6 linked regions of the Macaca fascicularis genome follow. The protein of the gene in region 1 interacts with the protein of each later gene in a biochemical or structural test. Links are inferred from orthologs where the notes say so. Each region holds a gene or a part of one and is shown in the gene's direction. Other genes may lie near its edges. The genes, in order: KLHL12, FBXL17, LNPK, DRD4, PDCD6 and SEC31A.

Region 1 (3,500 bases):
AATACAAAGTGTTTCCATCCTGTTTTGGTTTTTACTAATCAATTTATTTCTTGAAGAAAACAAGCTATTCGACCTGTAGAATTTCCCACATTCTGGACTCTGCTGTTGGCATCTTTATAGTGTCATTTAACATGTTCTTCTCCTATGTATTGCCTGTAAACTAGTGGTTGGACTAGAGGGTTGTTAAGAGTCAGCCTCAATTTTTTAGAAAAAAGACTCATTAGATGGTAGTGTGGTCCTTCCTATTCATCACCATTAGGAAGCACACAATGTCTCATAGTAATATGTTAGCTTTTGAAATAATGATTCTAGCCCAGCAATTGATGATAATTGTCAAATCCATTACTTCATTAGGGGTTTATCTGTGTTTCCTGTCAGCTTCAAGGTACTACATTTGCTCTTTCAAGTCCAGGTTACTTGTAAGATCACTTTGGTCTCCTAGATGCTTCCTAGTGATTGAATTTTCCAAAGCTCCAGCTAACTGTTCTCTCCATGAGTTCTAATTGAGTTCTAATGGAGCACATGCACAGGGGATTTTCTCAAAGAGACTTTGCTCTTTGAAAAAAGCCAAGCCAGGTGCTGTGGCTCATACCTGTAACCCCAGCTACTTGGTAGGCCAAGGCAGAAATATCGCTTGAGGCCAGGAGTTTGAGACCAGCCTGGGCAATATAGCAAGACCCTGTCTCCAAGAGCCAGGGTAGGAAGTATTTTATCAGAGTAAGGCCTTAGGGGAAGGGGAAGATATAAAGGCTGTCAGAATAGCTTCTTTGGGAAAATAGAGAAAAAGACTTTTCCTTTAAAACTCTAGTCTTTTGTTGCCTTGTGGTTTTGATGAATTGGCAGGGAATATGATCATATAGTTGACTACATTGGAGAAGGAAATGTTCATGAAAAAGAGATTTTAGGCCAGGCACAGTGGCTCATTCCTGTAATCCCAGCACTTTGGGAGGCTGAGGCAGGAGAATCACTTTAGGCTAGGAGTTTGAGATCAGCCTGGGCAATATAGCGAGACCCTTTCTCAATTCAGAAAAAGAGACTTTAAATCCATCACTTGGATCCTAAGTTTCAACATGCAGCTTTTTTTTGTGACAAGGTTAGGAGAGTTCTTTCCCTATTACAACAAAAAAACCCTCCCAATTTGGGTTTTTTCAGGCTGAGAAGTGCAGAGAGTGCCTTTAGCCTCTCACCTGCACTTAAGACCTCAAGTATTATGTCAGCCAGTCATCTCAATAGGTTGAAATGGTGCAGTGTTGCCGGGCACGGTGGCTCACGCCTGTAATCCCAGCACTTTGGGAGGTTGAGGCTGGCAGATCACCTGAGGTCGGGAGTTCAGGACCAGCCTGACCAACGTGGAGAAACCCCATCTCTGCTAAAAATACAAAATTAGCCAGGCATGGTGGCATATGCCTGTAATCCCAGCTACTTGGGAGGCTGAGGCAGGAGAATCACTTGAGCCCAGGAGGTGGAGGTTGTGGTGAGCCGAGATTGTGCCATTGCACTCCAGCTTGGGCAACAAGAGTGAAACTCTGTCTCCAAAAAAAAAAAAAAAAAAAAGAAATGGTGCAGTGTCATGTTGAAGTTTGCTTTCTAGAGTTTTAATGTTGTCCAGAAATTTAAGTTTCAGAGACTTGAGAGCTACAGCCTCAAGGAGAAATAACTCCCCATTCGACAGCCTTATGATTATCTCCCATTTCAGATTGCATCCCTCAGTCACATAAAACAAGACATCCTAGAACTGTTTCTGTTGACACTTCCCTGTGACTAGTTACCCATCCAGGGATGCTGAACTAACCCATCTTTTTTCTGCCTTTGTCTTCAGGAGCCAATGAAGTGCTTTTGGTGGTTGGGGGCTTCGGAAGCCAGCAGTCTCCCATCGACGTGGTAGAGAAATACGACCCCAAGACTCAGGAGTGGAGCTTTTTGCCAGTAAATAATGGTGAAACCATTCGTTGGGAGGGAGCTTAAATGTCCTCAGTCTCTGGGTCCAGATCATAGCTAATCCAGCCTTAGGAGTAGAAAAGCTATTCGTTGGGAGGGAGCTTAAATGTCCTTAGTCTCTGGCTCCAGATCGTAGCTAATCCAGCCTTAAGAGTAGAAAAGCCTAATAACAGGATCATGTTTCTTACAGCAGTCTTGTGCACATAGTAGGTACTCACTAAACAGTTTTTGACTGTTTAGATTAGAAGATTATGCCTTAGTAATGTCAGTGGCCCTGTGTCAAGGTAAACTCAGATGGCCACCACTAGTTAGGTGCCTTGCCAAGCTGTCTGTATAATTCCCAGCACATTTCATTGGTCATGCTGTGTTAAACTGAACTGAATGTTAAATTGTGTGTAATTGAACCTAGTGTTCAGTTGAGCTAAGTTTGGGCTGGGCATGGTAGCTCACACCTGTAATCCCAGCCCTTTGGGAAGCTGAGATGGGAGGATCCCTTGAGGCCAGGAGTTCAAGACCAGCCTGGGCAATATGGTGAGACTCTGTCTCTACAAAAAAGTAAACAAAAAAATTAGCCAGGCATGGTGGTGCATGCCTGTAGTCCTTAGCTACTTGGGAGGCTGTGGCAGAGGATTGCTTGAGCCCAGGAGTTCGAGGTTGCAGTGAGCTGTGATTGTGCCACTGCAGTCCAGCCTTGGTGACAGTGAGATCCCAACTCAGGAAAAAAAAAAAAAAAGTTTGTATCTGTCTTCCTCAGCATGTCTCTTTCAGTGCTGAATGAACAATAGTACTTTCTAAGAAAACATGGAAATCCAACCCTTCTACCTTTTAAGGTTCTTGTAATAAATCCTGGCCCTTTGATTAGCAGTGTGGGAATACTTTTCCACTTTATGGAAGGATATCAGTCTCTTAGCCCAGTGCCTTATGGAAAAGAAAGGAGTCAGATACTAGATAACAGAAGACTGTTAAATCTTTTGGAAGCCTTGGAAAGAGGCAGATGTGCAGAAAGCTTGTATCTTTAAGAGCACCACAAGCATTTCGTTCAGTAGATAGCTATTTGGGAGCCACTTGAGGATGAACCACTCAGGGAGGGTTCATGATAACAGGTGAAGAAGCATAGAGGTGTGCAGATGCAACAGGGAAGATGGCAAAAGGTAAGGCCTAAAACTTGCCTAACTGAAATGCTCTGTACCTCTTCTCTCCAAATCCATAGAGCATCACTCGTAAGAGACGTTATGTGGCCTCAGTGTCCCTACATGACCGGATCTACGTCATTGGTGGCTATGATGGCCGTTCCCGCCTTAGTTCAGTGGAATGTCTAGACTACACAGCAGATGAGGATGGGGTCTGGTATTCTGTGGCCCCTATGAATGTCCGACGAGGTCTTGCTGGAGCCACCACCCTGGGAGGTAGGCTGGATGTGCAGGGCAATTATTTCCATCTTACTGTGGCTGGACCAGGGTTTTTAACCTCTCCTGTTGTCTGGCAGGAGCATGAAATATGGAGAAAAAATTAAGGTCAAATGTTACTATTATTTGAGATAGGGTCTCTCTTTGTTGCCCAGG
Region 2 (3,500 bases), on another chromosome or scaffold:
AAGGGCCTGGCACATGGAGTGTAGTCAATAAATGTTGGCAAAAATGCTCTAGAGCTCATGAAGTGGTTATTAAATAATTGAATGAGTTAAGAAATAATAAAGTTTCTCATCCTGGCTAACACAGTGAAACCCCGTCTCTACTAAAAAATACAAAAAACTAGCCGGGCGCGGTGGCGGGCGCCTGTAGTACCAGCTACTCGCGAGGCTGAGGCAGGAGAATGGCGTGAACCTGGGAGGCGGAGCTTGCAGTGAGCCGAGATCCAGCCACTGCACTCCAGCCTGGGCAACAGAGCGAGACTCCCTCTCAAAAAAAAAAAAAAAAAAAGAAATAATAAAGTTTCATTCTAACTTCAGTAAATAGTGCTAAGTCAGAAGAAAAGCCTCCAAACATCAGTAATTTTACCACCCAGAATCAATAGCTATTGACGCTTTATCTGCTTATAAAGCAGGCTGTAACAGTCAGGGCTTTTCTGGATAGTACAGGGCTTTCGTGTTCTAGCCTCAGACCTCAATGAAACAACTTCACAAAATCTACCAACCCCAGGCCATCCTGCAAGTGGTGCTTTGTCATCTTTGGAAATTATAGTTTGAGCACTTTGTATTAAAAGGGATTTATTTTATGTATCCCCTACTTCATTTTTCTTAGCAGATCTTCAGGATATCATAAGCAATGAAAGTTATGATGGTACCAGAGAGAACAATTTTCTTAGGTCAGAGACACCAAAATTAACCTGGGATGTTGCTCCTTCTACACAAAGATAGTATTCAGACCATTTCTGCAAACTTTTAGTAGTTGGCAAATCCCCAAATCCCTTGGAAAACTTTAAATATCAAAACAGCATGCACAAAGATGAAAACATTAACAAACTGGTACATAAAGAACTTTAAAAAAAAATTCTCTCTATTGTATTTTCACTGGAAAATACTGGGGTCATGATTGCTGTTTGTATAAACATTAAATATCTGGCTCCTTTGAGTGCTTTCCTACTGGAATGTACAGACATGAGTTTTCTAGTAAAAAAAAAAAAAAAAAAAAAAAAAAAAAAAAAAACTGAGGTAATTAGCAAAGAAAGACTTTTCCAAATATTCTCTTCTGTGAGCTGTAGGAGTAAACATTTGTTAACATGAGTACTTAACTCTATCCATCTAGTCAACACATTTTGGGAACTATCATTCACCTTTATTGTCACAGAAATCAACTTATGCTATCTTAGAAGGAGGAAATTATCAGAAAACCATTTCTCTTTTCTTTTTGATATTTGTGGCACTGTTTTCAGGGTTTTCATTCACAAACCAATGCACCATAAACTGGTGCTGGAGTATTGAAATTTGTTTTTCTGCTCCATAAATATAGAGGTGGGCACATCTATCAAAGTCGGTAGAAAAGAGCCACATTCACCAACTGGTCACTCTGATGGGGTAATGGGCTGTGGGGCTTTGCAGTGACTAGTAGTGCACGTCATAGATTGTGGGATAAGAGTCTGCACTTTAGTGGTGGTACAATGCTAAACAGCTAAGAAGACTACAGATACTCTCATGGTTTACAGATGACAGGCTTCATTTTATATGTTAATAGAAGGAAGACTTCTGATAGGATGAGGAAATTCACCATAACAAATGCATTCCCTTTACTGAACTCTAGCATGGCACCAGTTAAAATCAGCTGTATGTATGATGTACTCTTAATTCCTAACAGTCCCAAGAAGTACTAATGTGAAAAATATTTTATACTTTTACATTTTATAGGTCATGAGCAGATGGAAAAAATTATGCCAATTGGTAAAGACATTCACATGCAGTATAACACTCCTCAAAACGGTGTTTACATGGGTTTTTCTTGAAAAAAAAAATTAAAGTTATCTTGGGTAAAATTATTACTTGGGTTTTCTTAAACGTTGTATCTGTAATTCATTTTATTGTATTCCTTCTGCAGAGCTGCATGTTTGAAAGCACAGGTAACCTTGTAATGAATAAAACTGATAAAAGGTTGTGTCCAATGAAAGGGAAATTATGGAATGATTATTCACTTTGCAAAAGGATTTGTCATAGGGAAGCTTTCGTAAAGCATTTCAAATTTAATTTAGTTTATAAAACATTCATTTACACACAAAATTTCAGGAACAAATTTAGTGAGGAAATGAGATGAATAGTCATAGTAAGATAGAGCTCCCTTACACTGCTAACGTTAATGCTTTCTCTCTGTCCCTTCTTGCAGCACTGATAGCCATTGGGCGGTACAGCATGACAATAGAGACTGTGGATGTTGGATGGTGTAAGGAAATTACAGACCAAGGAGCCACCCTGATTGCACAGAGCAGCAAGTCTCTGAGATATTTGGGGCTGATGAGATGTGATAAAGTAAGAGTTGACTATCAAGTTGTTTGCTTTCTACATATCAGTATAGTTAATAGCTTGATGTCGTATCCTCTCCTTCTCTATCCCCACCCCCATATATTCTATATTATATATACATTATATATATATACACAATTATAGCTATGCATTGTTCGCCTGCTTTTGTAAACTAATCTGGGATTATCTTTGCATTTCCCCACTTAATAATTCTGTGCTTAAGCAGAAAGAAAAAGTAATCATATATATAGAGTCAACTTAGAGTTTGGCATCCTATTTATAAGTCCATGGACCAAAATTTAAAAGGTTACATGACAAACTGCAATTTTCAGGGTCTAACCGTAAAATTATATTCTGTGTTTCAAGTTTCCAGCAACAGTAAAGGTGGAAAGAACAGTGCCAAATTGGTTTTTCACAAGTGTGTAATTTTGCTACTGAACATCTATGTATTCTGGCCACTCGGGAACAAGAAAGGGCCAGTGAGGGGGTATGTGGGAATTTGCATCTCCCCATACATCAGATGCCACTCCTAGCACGTGATAAGAAGTGATTCCAGAGGTCCTGGTGGAAGGCCTGTGGAGCTGACCAGCGATGTGAGCATGAGTTTAGGAAATGGTGCAGCATTTAATGTGGGACCCTTTGAAGACTGAGAAAACAGATAATAAAAATCTATACTGACACCTGTAATCCCAGCATATTGGGAAGCCAAGGCAGAAGGATCACTTGAGCCCAGGAGTTTGAGACCAGCCTGGGCAACAAGGCAAAACACTCTGTCTCTACCAAAAAAAAAAAAAAAAAAAAAAAAAAAAATTAGCCAGGCATCATGCCACACACCTGTAGTCCCAGCTACTAGGGAAGCTAAGGTGGGAGGATCCCTGAGCTCAAGAGGCCGAGGTTGCAGTGAGCCGTGATTGCGCCACACCACCCCAGCCTGGGTGACAGAGCAAGACCGAGTCCCAAACGAACAAACAAAAAACCAAAAAAAAAAAAAAAAACCTATGCTAGACACCAGGCACTCCACAGATGTTTTCTTCTTTATTTATTCCATGTTTTTCCTATAACAAGTCTAAGAAATAGTTATTTGCATTGTGAAGTGGAGAAAATGGAGGCTCAGAAAGACCAGTCAGTGGCCCAGGGATACTCTGGCA
Region 3 (3,500 bases), on another chromosome or scaffold:
TCCTTAACTTTTTTCTTCTCTTTTGAATTACTTTTCTATTTTTTATTTTGATACTTCCACTTGTTCTGTAGGTGTCCAATGCCTCTGTGTAACAGAATTATTTCATTTGGATGTATGAATTATTTTTATTTCTGTATTTCTGTATTTGTGTGCAAATGGCTATCTTGTTTTCTTATACTTCCTAAATTTCAAGCTTATTTGAAAGGTAGTTGAAAATAAGTACTCTAGGCCGGGTGCGGTGGCTCACGCCTGTAATCCCAACACTTTGGGAGGCCGAGGTGGGCAGATCATGAGTTCAGGAGTTTGAGACCAGCCTGGCCAACATGGTGAAACCCTGTCTCCACTAAAAATGCAAAAATTAGCTCAGCGTAGTGGTGTGAACCTATAATCTTAGCTACTCGGGAGGCTGAGGCAGGAGAATGAACCCAGGAGGCAGAGGTTGCAGTGAATCGAGATCGTGCCACTGCACTGCAGCCTGGGTGACAGAGCAAGACTCTGTCTCAAAAAAAAGAAAGAAAGTATTCTATACAATATTTGTTTCTTACACACTGTATCTTTTTACTTGAAGCTTATCATAAATATTGACTAAAGTCACACTGCATGTGCTTTTAGAATTTATAGGTTAAACAAAATTAGAAATTCAGTTTGATTTTATTGGATAAGCTTTTAGAGGAAGTATCTCAAAGTTACAGCTCGAAAATATGAATTGTATAAATTATATAACCCCGTCTCTACTAAAAATACAGAAATTAGCTGGGCGTGGTCGTGGGCGCCTGTAATCCCAGCTACTCGGGAGGCTGAGGCAGGATCGCTTGAACCCAGAAGATGAAGGTTGCAGTGAGCCGAGATTTTGCCACTGCACTCCAGCCTGGGCGACAGAGCTAGACTCTGTCTCAAATAAAAGAAAAAAAAATTATATAAATGCTTTTTTCAAATGTAAGAGGAGATAAGGTAGTCTAGGATAAACTACTTATTGTTTTTTTCTCCTTACTACCATAATAATAGAGTCTAACTATACTTGGTACATAACTTAGGTTTTGGGCTGTTGCTGGAACAGCCTTGTTTTGGATCAGCATTATATTGACCCTGTTATGACCTTTTAATAATCTGCCCAAGGATCAAATTTATCTCTTCTTGCTTTGTCTTTCATATTAGGTTGAACCATATGAAATTGCCAGTATTCAACTGCTTGGGCTTAGCAAAATGTCAATTTCATATGGTTAACTCTAATGTTAACAACTCTTATGGGAACTACAATGACCTGATATTCATTACCCTCTTGGATTGTTGAGTATGTAATTGGTAAATATTTTTTCAAGTGTTTTATGAGTGATTTTGGCTGATTTTTATTCTAGATGTATAAAAAATACCTTTGGCAAACAAGCTTTGCTATAATGAAGTATTCTTAGATGTCCTTTTAAAATCTGATCTTCAAAAAGTACTTTAGGAATTTAGAATGAAGATAACCTGTTGATTTTGACCTCCAGAGTCTTAAGTGAACTTTTAGCAATAGCCAATCAGACTATTTTTAGTCTGTAAATTTTTTTAATGTGTTAATTCTTTTGAGTAATCATTCCTAAGAAATTTTTTTGGAGGAAAATGTGCAGTATTTTAATTTTTTAATTTAATTAAAAAATTTTTTTGAGATGCAGTCTTTCTCTGTCACCCAGGCTAGAGTGCAGTGGTGCGATCTCAGCTCACTGCAATGTCTGGCTCCCGGGTTCAAGCAAATCTCGTGCCTGAGCCTCCTGAGTAGCTGGGATTACAAGCGCATGCCACCACGCCCAGCTAATTTTTGGATTTTTAGTAGAGATGGTGTTTCACCATGTTGACCAGGTTGGTCTCAAACTCCTGACCCTAAGTGATCCGCTCACCTTGGCCTCCCAAAGTGCAGGCGCGAGCCACCGTACCTGGCCAAAATTTGTTTCTTTCTATAACAGTGTGTTTTATTGAGGTTAAGAATGGTAAAAATTGAGCCATCAGAATTCAAAGTCTTTCTAGGATTAAAAAAAGTTAAGTAGGGAAATGCTTATTTCTTTACTCTTACGTAGTTCTGTTTGCAATTATAATTTTTATTTAAGTAAATCTTAGTTATAAACAAGAATACATATTTGCCTGATAACATTTGAGAAAATTCAATTTTGAAATAAATGTTCTTTAATGATTATATCAAAACATAAAAGTTTGTGATACGTTTTAATGCTGTCTCTTGTTTCTGTTTCTGTAACAGACAAAACCTTCAACTGTAGAAGTTCTAGAAAGTATAGATAAGGTATGTTCTTTGGCTGTAAGGTATTTTAATTCATTTTAGGTATTAAATAAATATTATTGTAGTATATATTATTTTGAAGACCAAATCTGGTATGGGAATTGAGAAATGATATAGAGTGAGTCTGAGAACTTTAATGTTATGTGACCTCAAAAAAATCTAAAGTCTATCAGTGACTTAAGAAGTCTGTTTCAAGTAATAGAGCCAGTTAGAATGAAATTAGATCTATAGTGTGGTGTAAATAAATGTTACAGGTAGGACAAAATAGATGAGATACTGTATAATAGTTTTTATCAGTCTACAAAATTTTCACAGCTTTTTATATAGTATAAAAAATGATTTTCTGGGAATATGGAGAGTGATAAATAGATGGGTTACGGTTTTAATTTTTATTAATTCTTTTTCTTATTGCCAGATTTTTAAAATGCCTTTTATAGGAGGAATTATTACTTATTTGACTCAACAAATATTATTGCTGATACCAATTTCATTCCCTGAATCTTTGCCAATTTGATAGTTTAAAAATAGTACTTAATTTTGCATTGTAAAATTGCTTTGTTAGAATAAGCATTATAAATTTTTAACCTCAGTTTTAGTTTTCTTTTACATATTATGTTCTGTTTTAAACGGTTAGGGTATTATGCTTTATTGAACTTTAAATAAGAGTTTTTTCTTAAATATCTTTCCTGTTAACATTTTTTAACATTTTAATTTCTTTATGAAGTTTGAAATTTACTAACGGAATAATTTTCTCTTAACAGGAAATTCAAGCATTGGAAGAATTTAGGGAAAAAAATCAGAGATTACAAAAATTATGGGTTGGAAGATTAATTCTGTATTCCTCAGTTCTCTATCTGTTTACATGCTTAATTGTATATTTGTGGTATCTTCCTGATGAATTTACAGCAAGACTTGCCATGACACTCCCATTTTTTGCTTTTCCATTGATGTAAGTAAATTATTCTTTTTGTTGATCTTTTCCTTTTCTGACTAGAGAGTCTTAATGTATATCTAGTATATATATTCAGTCTCTTTATTATTAAATGGTAATATCTGATTGAGTTTGAATTTCTTTCACAATTTGAAAAGATTTTTTAAAAATAGTAGAACAATTGTTTTAAACCTTCATTTGTAATCCAATATACCTGAGGAGTATTACCTAGTAATATGAGTAATAATTGCTCTATATGGCAATGTTTTATGATTTTCTAGTAGATGACCATGCTCCCCT
Region 4 (3,962 bases), on another chromosome or scaffold:
CACGGTGCCTGCTCCTTCTCAGAGCCCTCGTTTCTCCCTTTAATGCACACCCCATCAGCACCTCGTCCAGCCCGTGTCCTCCATACGTTTGAGGTCAGGGGCCTCAATTCCTGGCACGGCCCCTCCACTCCAGTCCTCCCAGAAACAAAGACAAGAGCAAGATGTGCATCGCCCAGGGTCCCACAGAGTGGTGCCTCCTTTTAGTGCCTTCTAGGCCCCTTTAGTGACAGGACTACAGAAAATACCCCTCAGGTCATGGGTCACCCCGATTTGATGAAGAGTCCATAGAACTGTCTCTGCTGCACTTTGCAAGCACTTTCTCTTCTGCACGTTTGGAACCTCCCAGGGCCTGTCTTGTCTTTCTCGTTGCCTCCTCGCGGGCTGAACCTACTGTCCGGTCCCCGGACCCCCTGCCCAGGGTCAGAGGGACGCCTACCTAGCTCAGGGTCTTGGGCCGGAGGGACTGGAGGAGGGAGCAGGGTCGACCGCTCAGCTGTCCGCCCGGGGGTGGAGGGTCGGGGGGAGGTGCCGGCCCACTATCGGAGGCGGCCACGGGAGGACCAACTGTGCAATGGGTGGGGCCGCGGCTGACTGTGGTGGTCGCGGGGGCTGAGGACCAGAGGCTGCTGGGGAGCGGGGGTACGAGCCAGGCGTCGGCGGTTGGGTCGGGCGCGGAGTCGCGGGCAGGAGGGTGCGCGCGAGGTCGAGGCGAGTCCCCCGGGAGGCGGGCAGAGCCTAAGCTCCGGTCTTCCCGCGACTGGCGGAACGGGCCTGGGAGGGACGTTTTCCCAGACACCAGGTGGACTAGGTGGACGGCCCGAGGGCCGGGACGCACGCAGGGGCCGGGCAGGATGGCTCTGGCGTCGATGCCCGCGCGCTTCAGGGCTTGGTCTGGCTGCCCCTCCATCCTTGTTGGTTTCTCGGGGTGCGGACCCCGCGCCGCACCAGGCGATGCTGGGCCTGCCCATGGCCACCACCTCGCTGCATTCCCGTCTCTTTGGGCCGCCGCATTCGTCCGCCTGCCCGTCTCTCCCTGCGCAAAATTCCAAGATGAGCAAATACTGGGCGCACGGTGGAGCGCCGCGGGGGCCCCCCTGAGCCGGGGCGGGGCGGGGGCGGGACCAGAGTCTGGCCGGGGCGTGCCCAAGGGGAGGGACTCCCCGGTTTGCGGCCCGGCGCTGTCCGCGGTGCTCAGCGCCCGCCCGGGCGCCTGGGGCCGGCGCGCCATGGGGAACCGCAGCACCGCGGACCCGGACGGGCTGCTGGCCGGACGCGGGCCGGGCGCGGGGGCGGCTGCGGGGCTGGCAGGGCCGGGCGCGGCGGCGCTGGTTGGAGGCGTGCTGCTCATCGGCGCGGTGCTCGCGGGGAACTCGCTCGTGTGCGTGAGCGTGGCCACCGAGCGCGCCCTGCAGACGCCCACCAACTCCTTCATCGTGAGCCTGGCGGCCGCCGACCTCCTCCTCGCTCTCCTGGTGCTGCCGCTCTTCGTCTACTCCGAGGTGAGCCCCGTCTGGCCGCACGAGCATCTTCATCTGCTCCTCGGTTCTCCGTCCCTGTCCCTGCGGAGGACCCGGCGCGACCCGGCCCCTTTCTGCTCCGGAGCCTCCAGCTGGGGCGGCGGCAGGGGCGCTGGGCCTGGTCCCTCCGCGCTACACCCACCGCCGCCACCTCGCGTCCTTCCCCCCGCTGCGCTGTCCCCCGACCCCCGTTCCTCTCCTCCCTTCCCCTTCTGTCTTGGCGTCTGCTATCCAGGAGATGCCCGTCCTTCGATCTAGGGACCCCAGAAATAGGCGACTTTGTCAAGCCAGCCCCCTCCCGCCGCCCGGCAGCTGGATTTCACCCCCAGGGCAACCAGCTGGACAGGCAGGCAGATGCGGGCTCGGCCCCCTGGCTGCCCTGGGACACACACACACGCACTGCACACACGCACTGCACATGGCCACAGCCACAGACCACCACGCACACCCAGTGCGGATGCTGGCTCACCCCCAGGAGGCTCACAGCTCACAGGGGAGACCTGGGCTGGACAGAACCCAGGGGAGGGTGTGTGGGGGCCAGGCCCCTGCTGAGAACCCTGGGGAGAAGCCCGAGGGGGAATTGGGGGATGGATCCCACACTCCACACCAGATCTGGCCCTCGGATGGGTTGGACTTGGTGCCAGCCCCTCTGCAGCCAGAGAAAAGCAGCTTAAGGCTGAGCTGGGGACGCGGTGTCCCGGACTGTGGAGGAGGGGGGACTCGGGGTTTCCCCTTGGTAGACACGGTGAGTCCTGGCGGCTGGGGCAGAGACCAGCAGCACGGGACACGCATGACCTGTGCTCCTTTCGAGCCGCAGACGTCACAGTGACGACGTTTAAGCTCCTAATCTTCCCAAATCGGCGGGAAGGGATTAAGGGGGCTGCCTGCTCCTTTGCCCTTGAAGAGAGTCACTCCACGTGGACTCCTACGCTGGGCACTGGGCAGGTCTTCATATTTTTAATTATAATTTATCTTCAAGACAATTATGTGGATACTATCATCATCCTCGTCTTACAGATGAGGAAACAAATGAATTAATGCGCCCGAGTCTCCCACAGAGAGCTTCACCAGACAGGCTGGCTCATGCCCTGAAGGACAGAGCAGCCAGCTTCATGTCTAGGCCCAGCGGGGACCCTGCCTACCCCAGGCTGGGGAGGGGCTCTCCTTGAGCCCGATGACATCAGGCCCCGCCCCCAGGGAATTCCCCAGGCCCGTTCTCATGTTTGTAACAAAAGGGAGACCAAGGTCAGGAGTGGTGGCTCACACCTGTAATCCCAGAACTTTGGGAGGCCAAGGCAGGAGGATCGCTTGAACCCAGGAGTTTGAGACCAGCCTGGGAAACATACCGGGCCGGGTCTCTACAAAAAATTAAAATATCGGCCGGGCGCGGTGGCTCACGCCTGTAATCCCAGCACTTTGGGAGGCCGAGGAGGGCGGACCACGAGGTCAGGAGATCGAGACCATCCTGGTTGACACAGCGAAACCCCGTCTCTACTAAAAATGCAAAAAATTAGCCGGGTGTGGCGGCGGGCGCCTGTAGTCCCAGCTACTTGGGAGGCTGAGGCAGGAGAATGGCGGGAACCCAGGAGGCGGAGCTTGCAGTGAGCCGAGATCGTCCCAGGGCACTCCAGCCTGCGCCACTGAGCGAGACTCCCTCTCAGAAAAAAAAAAAAAAAAAAATGAAAATATCAGCCTGGGATGGTGGCATGCGGCTGCTGTCCCAGCTATTCGGGGGAACTGAGGCAGGAGTATCGCTTAAACCCGGGAGGCGGAGGTTGCAGTGAGCTGAGATCGCATCACTGCACTCCAGCCTGGGCAACAAGAGTGCAACTCCGTCTCAAAAAAACAAACAAAAAGAAAAACAAAAATAAAAAATAAATAAATCAGTTGGGGGGTGGTGGCGCGCGGCTGTAGTCCCAGCTACTCTGGAGACTGAGGTGGGAGGATCGCTTGAGCCCAGGAGTTCCAGGCTACGGTGAGCCATGATGGAGCCACCGCACTCCAGCCTGGGTGACAGAGCGAGACCCTAACTGAAAACAAAGGGAGACCTGAGTGCAGAGGGGTTGTTTCTCTGCCTGCTCCTCTGGCCTCTGGTTCACAGCGGGCCCCCTCCTCCATATTCAGCCCTGGAACTACCCATAAGAGAGGGGGTCACAAGGGCCCGCGGTGGCTGGGAAACCTCAGGGCCTGTGGTGTCGCCGCGCAGGTCCAGGGTGGCGCGTGGCTGCTGAGCCCCCGCCTGTGCGACGCCCTCATGGCCATGGACGTCATGCTGTGCACCGCCTCTATCTTCAACCTGTGCGCCATCAGCGTGGACAGGTGCGCCGCCCTCCCCGCCCGCGCCCCCGCGCCCTCGCGCCCCTCCCGCCGCCGCCGCCCTCACCGCGGCCTCCGCGCTGTCCCGCGCACCCTCGGCGCTCCCCGCAGGTTCGTGGCCGTGGCCGT
Region 5 (4,165 bases), on another chromosome or scaffold:
GAGGCACTGAAGAACCTGAAAAGCTGGAAAAACCCCACGAAATAATGAGAATAATTGTAGTATCCTGAACCAGGGCACAGGACACAGGACACAGGACACAGGACTGGGGTGGAAGGCGGCAAAGACCCAGGGATCATAGTGGCCCAAAGCTGGGCACTTCCCAATTCCGGGGATTGGTGCTACAGGCACTCCAGGTTCCACCGCAGAACCGTGTCCAGCATGGAGGCAGTGCTGTCTCGGGGGAGACAGGGCTGCACCACCACCAAGGGGCGGGAAGGGACCCGGCAGGGAGGCGCCCAGTGTTGCCAGCTGCACGGCGTCGGGGGCGGCGCTGAGGCAGAGCGCGGGGGCGCAGGTTAAACCTAAAGGAGGGAAGCTTTTACGGGCGGAACAGACAACCGAGAACGCTGCACACTGTCCTTCCCACCCGAAATGCGTTTTCCCTTTTTTTTTTTGAGACGGAGTTTCGCTCTTGTTGCCCAGGCCTGGAGTGCAACGGCCTGATCTCCGCTCACTGCAACCTCCGCCTCCCGGCTTCAAGCAGTTCTCCTGCCTCAGCCTCCCGAGTAGCTGGGAATAGGCGTGCGCCACCACCCCCGGCTAATTTTGTATATTTAGTAGATACGGGGTTTCTCCATATTGGTCAGGCTGGTCTCGAACTCCCGACTTCAGGTGATCCACCGGCCTCGACCTCCCAAAGTCCTGGGATTACAGGCGTCAGACACTGCGCACGGCCTGCTTTTTTTTTTTTTCGGCAGAGTCTGGCTGTCCACCGGGCTGGAGTGCAGTGATCTCGGCTCCCTGCGGCCTCGACTTCCCGGGCTCAGGCGATCCTCCCGCCTCTGCCCATGGAGTAGATGGGACCACAGGGGCCCGCCACCACGCCCGACTATTTTCTGCAATTTTTGTAGGGATGGAGTCTGGCCACGCTGCCCAGGCTGGTCCGAACTGGTGGGCTCAGGAGCTCCGCCCGCCTCCGCCTCCCAAAGCGCAGGGATCACAGGCGTGAGCTACCGCGCCCCGCCCAGAGTTTCCGACTGTTAGCCTGAATCACATTCACGTCAAAACTTCTTTTTATACATGAACTGAAAGGCTAACTAACTCTCTACTCCATCACTTCCCGTCCCGGGTCGCAGAGCCGGACATTTTCTCCAAGCGCCTTCCCAGCACCGGTAGCCGGCTGCCTGCTCCAGAGCTCTGGCTTTTTCCAGACGCCCCGGACCGCACAGGCCCCGCAGGCGCCAGGGCGTTGCTTGGTAACTGAGCTGCGAGGGGATTGGCCGCGCGGGACCCCGTGACCATCCCGGAGACTACGCATTTCCTGCGCCCCCGGAAGTGGAGGTAACGCCAGGCCCTGCCCCCGGCAGAGCCGGAAGCGGAGTCGCCCTGAGAGGTCTCACGTCTCAGTAGACGCCTCAGCCCAGCCGCGCGCCTTGGCCCATGGCCGCCTACTCCTACCGCCCCGGCCCCGGGGCCGGCCCAGGGCCTGCTGCGGGCGCGGCGCTGCCGGACCAGAGCTTTCTGTGGAACGTCTTCCAGAGGTGCGGCCTGGCACCGCCCCAGCACCTCCCGCCTCCGCTGCGGCCGCCCCCGACTCCTGCCCCCACCGCCGCGGACCCGGTTCACTGCCGGTTCCCCCGCGGCCTCCTCTGTCCCCTGTCGGGTCCCCCGCGGCCTCCCCGGTCCCCTGCCCCGACCGCCGCGGCCTCCCCCGTCCCCTGCCCCGACCCCTGCGGCCGCGCCCGTCCCCTGCCGGGTCCCCTGCGGTCTCCCCGGTCCCCTGTGGGTCCCTTGCGGCCGCCCCCGTCCCCTGTGGGTCTCCCGCGGCCGCCCCCGCCTCCTGCCCGGTCCCTGCCCTGTGCGTTGGGCCCTTCCAGAGGTGCAGAGTAGCCGCTGCAGACCCGAGGTCGCGGCCACCGGCTCCCGGGCTAGGCCCTTTTTCTCGCCTCAGGAGCCGCCGGGCGGAGGGTCTCCAGGGGTGCTTGTTCGGGGAAAGCAGAGACAGACTGCCTGGGCGCTGTTAAGTGTCAGCAGCCGAGGAAGCAGCAGCGACCTGGCGTCTGCTCGGGGCAGGTGACCTTTCCGGCGGCGCCTTCTGTCCCGGGTCGCTTTTCCACGGAATGAATGACCGAAACTGTAGTGACTCATGGCCAGGGAATGCCTTAGTTATCTGAGGGAATCTTGTTTGTGAAAAAGGGAAACTGGTGCAAATGTGAATTCAGACAGGCCAGGAGAGGAAGGAAGGGAAGGATTGAGAGAGAAAGATGATTGGCCTCTTAGGGGAAGACCCCGCTTGGACGTGGGCTCCTGCGGCACTTCCTTGATTCCCGTGTCCTCCTCAGCGGGATGGGAGAGGCGGAGGTTCCAGGAGGCTCCGAGCCTTCCAGAGTCAGTGCAGGGTTGACAGGAGACGTTTGTTTTGCTTTTCCTGAACTTTGGATCGCCAGCTTATTTGGTCTTCTTGATGTTGTAGGGTTGATAAAGACAGGAGTGGAGTGATATCGGACACCGAGCTTCAGCAAGCTCTCTCCAACGGTGAGTGGGCCCGTGGGACCTGGGTCGGGACCCAGAAGCCGCTGAGTGGGCCCGTGGGACCTGGGTCCGGACCCAGAAGCCGCTGAGTGGGCCCGTGGGACCTGGGTCCGGACCCAGAAGCCTGCTCTGCTCGCAGTGGATAACTTTCTTTCTGAAGTTCATTTTCCAAGGACAAAGGGATCATTAGGACAAACTATTATTACTGCTTCATGGTGGAGATGCTTCTGGTTTCTGTTGTGGCTGCCGCTGTTATTTGGAGTGCCTCACCAAGCCGGCTAACAACTGCGTGCATAAGCACAAGAAAAGGCTTCTTGAGAAATGAAAACTAGGTTGTAGGTTTAGGAGGGGAATAGGAAGCTTAGCTCTGTACAGCCGGAAGCCTTTTGGTAAGTTGGAGGTCCTTGAATTTCCTCGGTAACTGCATCTTGGTGACTTCTCTGAATAGACCTTCGAGGGCATTGGGGGGTGGTGGTTGGAGGGCTTGGGGAGCTCAGGCAGCACTTGTGTGGGGACGTGGCTGTTACAGGAGCCGCAAACACGGGGACTGCATTCCTGGGGAAAGGATTGGGGGTGTTGGAGGCGCTGGCAGGGGAATTATGGGGAGGTGTTCTTATCAGTGTGCGAATACTGGACGTTCAGGCGGCGGGAAATCCGGGTCCTTGGGTGTTGTGAGCTCACTGCAGTTAGTTCTTGCCAGTTTCAGCTCAATTGATCCCCCCTCCCCTGGGAAGATCACGTTTTACTTCATTGAACACCTGACTGCGGCTTTTTCTGTAATCCCTTTGGGGCAGTCATCTTTTCCGATTCTGTGTATAGTTTCCCTTTCCAGATCCGTGCCATTTAAGCTAGAAAAGGGGTCGGTTTTGAGATGTTGTGAAAATGTTGAAAGGCTCCTCGTTATTAGTGGGAAGTACCTGATGTTGCCAGAGACTGGACTGGGACACAGGGAGCACTACGGCTGCTGGACACTGCCTCACTGCGCTGTGCCTGGGGGGATGCTTCATTCAGCCTTACTGCCTAATGATTTGTGAGGATTTGTGTTTTCAGAGTAACATGTTTACCTTATATTCTGACATCAGTTCCTGATATGTGACGTGTGGGCCACAGATGCTGGTGTATTATTTCACATGCATTTATATAGATTGTTTTCAGGGAATTCAGAAATTCTATTATCGGCACTAGTGATTGTGCTTTCTTGATTTTTCTCTTTTCATTATTCTTAAATCCTCCTTTTTTAAATTTGCATCTCGGTTCTTTTATACTTGGGAAGTGCAAGACATGGCTACTGGAAAAAGATGTCAAGAGAACCTGGAATCCAGTAGGCTACAATTTGGCAAATCTTAGCTTAAAACGTCCTCAATGTTAACCACAGTGGGTGCAGATGGCTCTGTGCATCATCTGTGAAATGTCATCAGATGACCACCCAGGTTCAAGTGGTTTGTCACCAGGGTGGTACGAGCCACACAGAGTGCCCTCCCCAGAGGCCATGTCGCGGAGACATTTATTTTGAGTGGTTTTCCAGTGAGTGATGCAAGATTTATGATCCATTTTAACAGCCTGCTTTTTATGCGTTTGCTCAGGTTTTTAGATTTTAGGTTTCGTTTTAGGTTTTCTGTTAAACTTGCTCACC
Region 6 (4,261 bases), on another chromosome or scaffold:
GGCCAGTTACGTTCTTTCAAAGTTTGTTGGTGATTTGTTACTGATCCATCAGTTCATGCACAGATAGCAAAGCACAAAGTGCATAGTAGTGTTGCCTCCGTGGCCCCAGAGATTAAAACTTGTGACCATTTACAGAAATGGATAATCAAAATAGGTAATTGGTCAACAAAGGACAGGGCAGCAAAGAAAAGTGATAACGCTGGAAGTGAAATTGGATGTGATTAGAAGATTTGAAAGTGGTGACAGCAAAGCAAAGATAGGTTGAGACCCAGACCTGCATGAAGCTGTAATACAGGCCTATTGAAAAAGTATGATAAATGTAAAAAGGTAAACTTGCTTCAACGTCTTTCAGTTTTAATTGCACTAGGAACAGAAAGCTGCTTGCGGTTGAAATGGAGCATTTACTTGTTTGAAGACTAATCAAAAACAAATCCCAATCAGTTTGACTAGCATTCAGGCCAAAGTGATAACCTTAGTTACTGCGTTGAAAGAAAATATATTACTACCAGTAAAAGCTGGGTTCATTATTTCAGAAGTTGGCGTGATAATGTTAAGCTATCTTAGGAAGCTGCAAGCTTCAGATGGAATGTTACAGAAGATGTAGCTGACTGGGAATGTTGACACTGCTGCTGTTCAAGAGGCAGGATCTTGCTTTAGCCACCCAAAGTGCAAGAGTTGGCTTTGAATGCTAGGTGTAATGAGAAAAGAACTTGTCTAGAAGTTAGGAGACCTGGGTTGAATCCAGTTTCTGGTAGTTTAGCAAGTGATTTTCCTTTGGCTTTACCTCGCTGTAAAATAATTCCTCCCTAAACTAAAAGTACACCCAGGCAACGCATCTAATTAGATTTGAAGCTCTGGGGAAACTAGTAACAGCGGAAGGCGAGTGCTACGGGGTCTCAATACCATGGGATAGTAACAAGTATGAAAGGGTACTAATTGATAACACCGTAACACCCCATCTATGCCTCTCTGTCCACAATAGCCTTTGGGTATGCCCAGATAGTTTCGCTTTGTGTAAGTTCTCAAAATGCCAGAATGTGTAATCAAGTGGGTAATTTTAAGAACTCAGTCACAAATTACAATAAAGCTCTTGCAGCCCAATTTTCCACGTGGTTTGGCTTGGGCAGTGTCGCCAGGGGCTGCAGACACCTCACAGGACTAGTGCTACGTGGCGTTCCTGCGGACCACAGCGGTTATTCGGCCGGACGGAGACACCCTCTGCACTACTCCTTTACCTGCTAGTCCTGGCTGCCGCATCCATATTCTGCGCGCCGCCCCTCAGAAAAGGGTTTCTACATTCGCGCGGGCGCGATGACCGCAGAGCGCGCCCAACCCGCAGAGCCATACCCTGCACCCCAGCCTACCGCCGGTCCCGGAAGTGCCGTGGCGGGCCGTGCGTCGGGGTGGGCGGGGAGAAATGTCGCTCCCGGAAGTGTTGGGCGGCAGGGCGTGGCTGCGGCTGCGGCTGCCACGTTGGAACGGAACGTGGAGGTGGCCCTGGCCCGGGAGGAGGGGCGGCGGCGAATGCTGGGAGACTCCGACGGGCGCTGCACTAACGCAGGATCCGGCTGCTCAAGGTCCTTGCCAGGTGTGTCCACCCGTTGCTTTTTGTCCTCTTCGCCGGTCCTTAAGCCTTGAGGTAAAGCCCAGGCCAAAACTGGGACCGCAGCCTGGGTCTCCGCTGCCCCGCGCCAGCCTGAGGCCCGGTCTCTGGTGACGGCGCGCCCCCAGTCTTGGTTTCGGGCCCGGCGGAACAACGCCTGGCGTCTGGACTCCTTCAGTGATCGCGCCCGTCCGCATCCGCCGACGTCTCCACTGCTGAGCAAAAGCCACCCGAGGCTGGCGACGGTGTCTTGCCGGGGAGTCGTAGCCGGGCTGGTAACTGGAGTTTGAGGTTAGGAGACTTTCAGACCCTTGTGCACAAAGAGGTGCGGTCCCCGAGGGTGAGGAAAGGAAAAAAATCTAAGGATTACTTTGGTTGACTTTAGTTTGGTTAGGATTTGTTTGTTTGTACTTGAACTGTTGCCAGATTTATAGTTAAAGGTTCATAGGTTTGAACTGACGTCTACTGTCATTTAACTAGGATTGGATTATTTTAAGGACAGTGGTAGCCAGGAGCAGCCTGTACTTTGAGGGCAGTCTCATTAAGTGTTACATGTTTTTGCTAATAAGTTGTTAAATTACGGGGCTGTTGTAAAATAAACCAAAATATTGCCTGGACTTGTGGGCATTATAAAATTTTCCTTGCGCTTAAGGAACTAATTTTACGTAGGGCCTTTTGAAGTTGCAATGATCTGATAGTCTGTGACAAATCCTTTCTCCTATTTTTTTCTAACTATAGAAAACTGAAATTTGGTTGTCTTTGTGGGCAGTTATAACTGTATTTAATCAGTAAAGCTGTGTTCTTGTTATAGCGTCTAGCGTTTTCTGTACCTCCGATTATTCAAGGGTTGGCAAAAGCTTACTCTCCTTTTTTGTTTTTGTTTTGTTTTTTTGTTTGTTTGTTTTTGTTTTTTTTGTTTTTTGAGACGGAGTCTCGCTCTGTCACCCAGGCTGGAGTGCTGTGGCGCGATCTCAGCTCACTGCAACCTCCGTCTCCCGGGTTCAAGTGATTCTCCTGCCTCAGCCTCCTGAGTAGCTAGCTGGTATTACAGGCGCCCGCCACCACGCCCGTCCAGTTTTTGTGTTTTTAGTAGAGACTGGGTTTCACCATGTTGGTCAGGCTGATCTCGCACTCCTGACCTCAAGTGATCCGCCCGCATTGGCCTCCCAAAGTGCTGGGATTACAGGCATGAGCCACCACGCCCAGCCTACTCTCCTTTAGTGGTTCTTCTGTGCTTCTTGTTTCTCAGTATTCCTTAATTACAGCTCAGGGAGAGGTTTGTAGACTCCAAGAACTTTTGGATAACTCGTGGTGTTTCTGTAGTTTTGTAGTGATTTTATCTTACATACGTCCACGGTTATTTGTGAAACTTGAAATTTAAGGTAGATTTAGAATAATATTGCTTAATTTTATATAGGCAAATTATTTATTGAAACTAATAACGTGGGAATAGAAATAAATTTGTAAACTGTGAAGAGCAATGATTCACAATTTTGGGGGGATTTCACTGTCTTATGGGAATCTAATGAAAGCATTGGAAGAATGCACATATACACACGTAGGATTTTCTTTTTTTTTATTTTACTTTTTTTTTTTGAGACAGAGTCACTCTTTGTTGCCCAGATTGGAGTGCAGTGGTGCAGTCATAGCTCACTATAACCTTGAACTCTTGGACTCAAGAGATCCTCCCTCCTCAGCCTCAGAAGTAGCTAGGAATATGCACGTGGCGCACGCCCAGTTAATCTCTTATTTTTTATAGGGATGGGGGTCTCACTACGTTCCCCAGGCTGGACTCAAGCTCCTGCTCTCAAGTGACGTGTAGGATTTTCTGTGTACATAATATTATGAAGTTTACAAGTTAAAAACTCCTGTAAAGGGATATTACTAGATTGATTTACATTGATTACATTGTTTTTAGAAATGTCATTAGGTTAATTTCAGCTCAAAAAGTTTTATTATACCTAAGATTAATATGACACCAATTAGTTCAGTAACCAGTGCACAGTTACTTTCTCCTTTGACTTGGTTTGGGTTGAGTGAAATGAACCTAGGACATTGAAAATAATCAATCCTCTGAACAATTGTTTCTATCCATATTGAGATATTTTGCCCACAGAAAATGGATTTTTACTAAAAGCAATGCCAACTAGGGATTGTATACCTGGTTTGGGAATCAAAGTTCCAATTCTATTACCTCTTTAACTTTTTATTTGCTTTCTGAGGTATGGGTCAGCTCTATATAGCATTGTAAGGTTGGTACTTTTCAACATTTTCAACAATTTTAGTATTGCTAAATACTTAGCAACAATTTTAGTTACTTTTTTTTTTTGAAAAGTTACTTACTTTTCAACAATTTTAGTATTGCTAAATACTTTTAGTATTTAGCAATACTAAAACCCAAGTGCTGTTGGGTTTTAGTATTGCTTCAGAAAATTTACATTTTGAAAATGAGCAGAAAGAAAAAAGTTTCCACCTAATCGAATGCAATTATCGAGAGAAAGTTGCATGAAAAATAAGAGTTCTAGTCTGGAATATAAATATTCCTCAATAAATCTTTTTTTTTTTTCTGAGACAGAGTCTTGCTCTGTCTCCCAGGCTGTAGTGCAATGGCATGATCTCGGCTCACTGTAAACTCCGCCTCCTGGGTTCAAGCGATTC

Evidence for each region.
Region 2: the proteins of KLHL12 (region 1) and FBXL17 form a complex in vitro, tested with the Homo sapiens proteins (3 studies listed by BioGRID, with this or other methods). The link is inferred for Macaca fascicularis from reciprocal best matches to the Homo sapiens genes KLHL12 and FBXL17.
Region 3: the proteins of KLHL12 (region 1) and LNPK form a complex in vitro, tested with the Homo sapiens proteins (2 studies listed by BioGRID, with this or other methods). The link is inferred for Macaca fascicularis from reciprocal best matches to the Homo sapiens genes KLHL12 and LNPK.
Region 4: of the proteins of KLHL12 (region 1) and DRD4, one has a biochemical effect on the other in vitro, tested with the Homo sapiens proteins (2 studies listed by BioGRID, with this or other methods). The link is inferred for Macaca fascicularis from reciprocal best matches to the Homo sapiens genes KLHL12 and DRD4.
Region 5: the proteins of KLHL12 (region 1) and PDCD6 form a complex in vitro, tested with the Homo sapiens proteins (2 studies listed by BioGRID). The link is inferred for Macaca fascicularis from reciprocal best matches to the Homo sapiens genes KLHL12 and PDCD6.
Region 6: of the proteins of KLHL12 (region 1) and SEC31A, one has a biochemical effect on the other in vitro, tested with the Homo sapiens proteins (3 studies listed by BioGRID, with this or other methods). The link is inferred for Macaca fascicularis from reciprocal best matches to the Homo sapiens genes KLHL12 and SEC31A.

The regions. Positions count from the first base shown.
Region 1 is NC_088375.1:60,647,369-60,650,868, reverse strand, and holds part of KLHL12 (kelch-like protein 12), read left to right. Parts: intron 1-1,819; coding exon 1,820-1,926; intron 1,927-3,148; coding exon 3,149-3,344; intron 3,345-3,500. UniProt on the Homo sapiens protein: Substrate-specific adapter of a BCR (BTB-CUL3-RBX1) E3 ubiquitin ligase complex that acts as a negative regulator of Wnt signaling pathway and ER-Golgi transport.
Region 2 is NC_088380.1:114,361,844-114,365,343, reverse strand, and holds part of FBXL17 (F-box/LRR-repeat protein 17), read left to right. Parts: intron 1-2,215; coding exon 2,216-2,358; intron 2,359-3,500. UniProt on the Homo sapiens protein: Substrate-recognition component of the SCF(FBXL17) E3 ubiquitin ligase complex, a key component of a quality control pathway required to ensure functional dimerization of BTB domain-containing proteins (dimerization quality control, DQC).
Region 3 is NC_088386.1:71,543,903-71,547,402, reverse strand, and holds part of LNPK (endoplasmic reticulum junction formation protein lunapark), read left to right. Parts: intron 1-2,230; coding exon 2,231-2,272; intron 2,273-3,030; coding exon 3,031-3,218; intron 3,219-3,500. UniProt on the Homo sapiens protein: Endoplasmic reticulum (ER)-shaping membrane protein that plays a role in determining ER morphology. Involved in the stabilization of nascent three-way ER tubular junctions within the ER network.
Region 4 is NC_088388.1:539,075-543,036, forward strand, and holds the start of DRD4 (D(4) dopamine receptor), read left to right. Parts: upstream 1-1,162; 5' UTR 1,163-1,226; coding exon 1,227-1,499; intron 1,500-3,723; coding exon 3,724-3,836; intron 3,837-3,944; coding exon 3,945-3,962. UniProt on the Homo sapiens protein: Dopamine receptor responsible for neuronal signaling in the mesolimbic system of the brain, an area of the brain that regulates emotion and complex behavior.
Region 5 is NC_088380.1:589,667-593,831, forward strand, and holds the start of PDCD6 (programmed cell death protein 6), read left to right. Parts: upstream 1-1,365; 5' UTR 1,366-1,440; coding exon 1,441-1,541; intron 1,542-2,473; coding exon 2,474-2,535; intron 2,536-4,165. UniProt on the Homo sapiens protein: Calcium sensor that plays a key role in processes such as endoplasmic reticulum (ER)-Golgi vesicular transport, endosomal biogenesis or membrane repair.
Region 6 is NC_088379.1:50,950,805-50,955,065, forward strand, and holds the start of SEC31A (protein transport protein Sec31A), read left to right. Parts: upstream 1-1,461; 5' UTR 1,462-1,894; intron 1,895-4,261. UniProt on the Homo sapiens protein: Component of the coat protein complex II (COPII) which promotes the formation of transport vesicles from the endoplasmic reticulum (ER).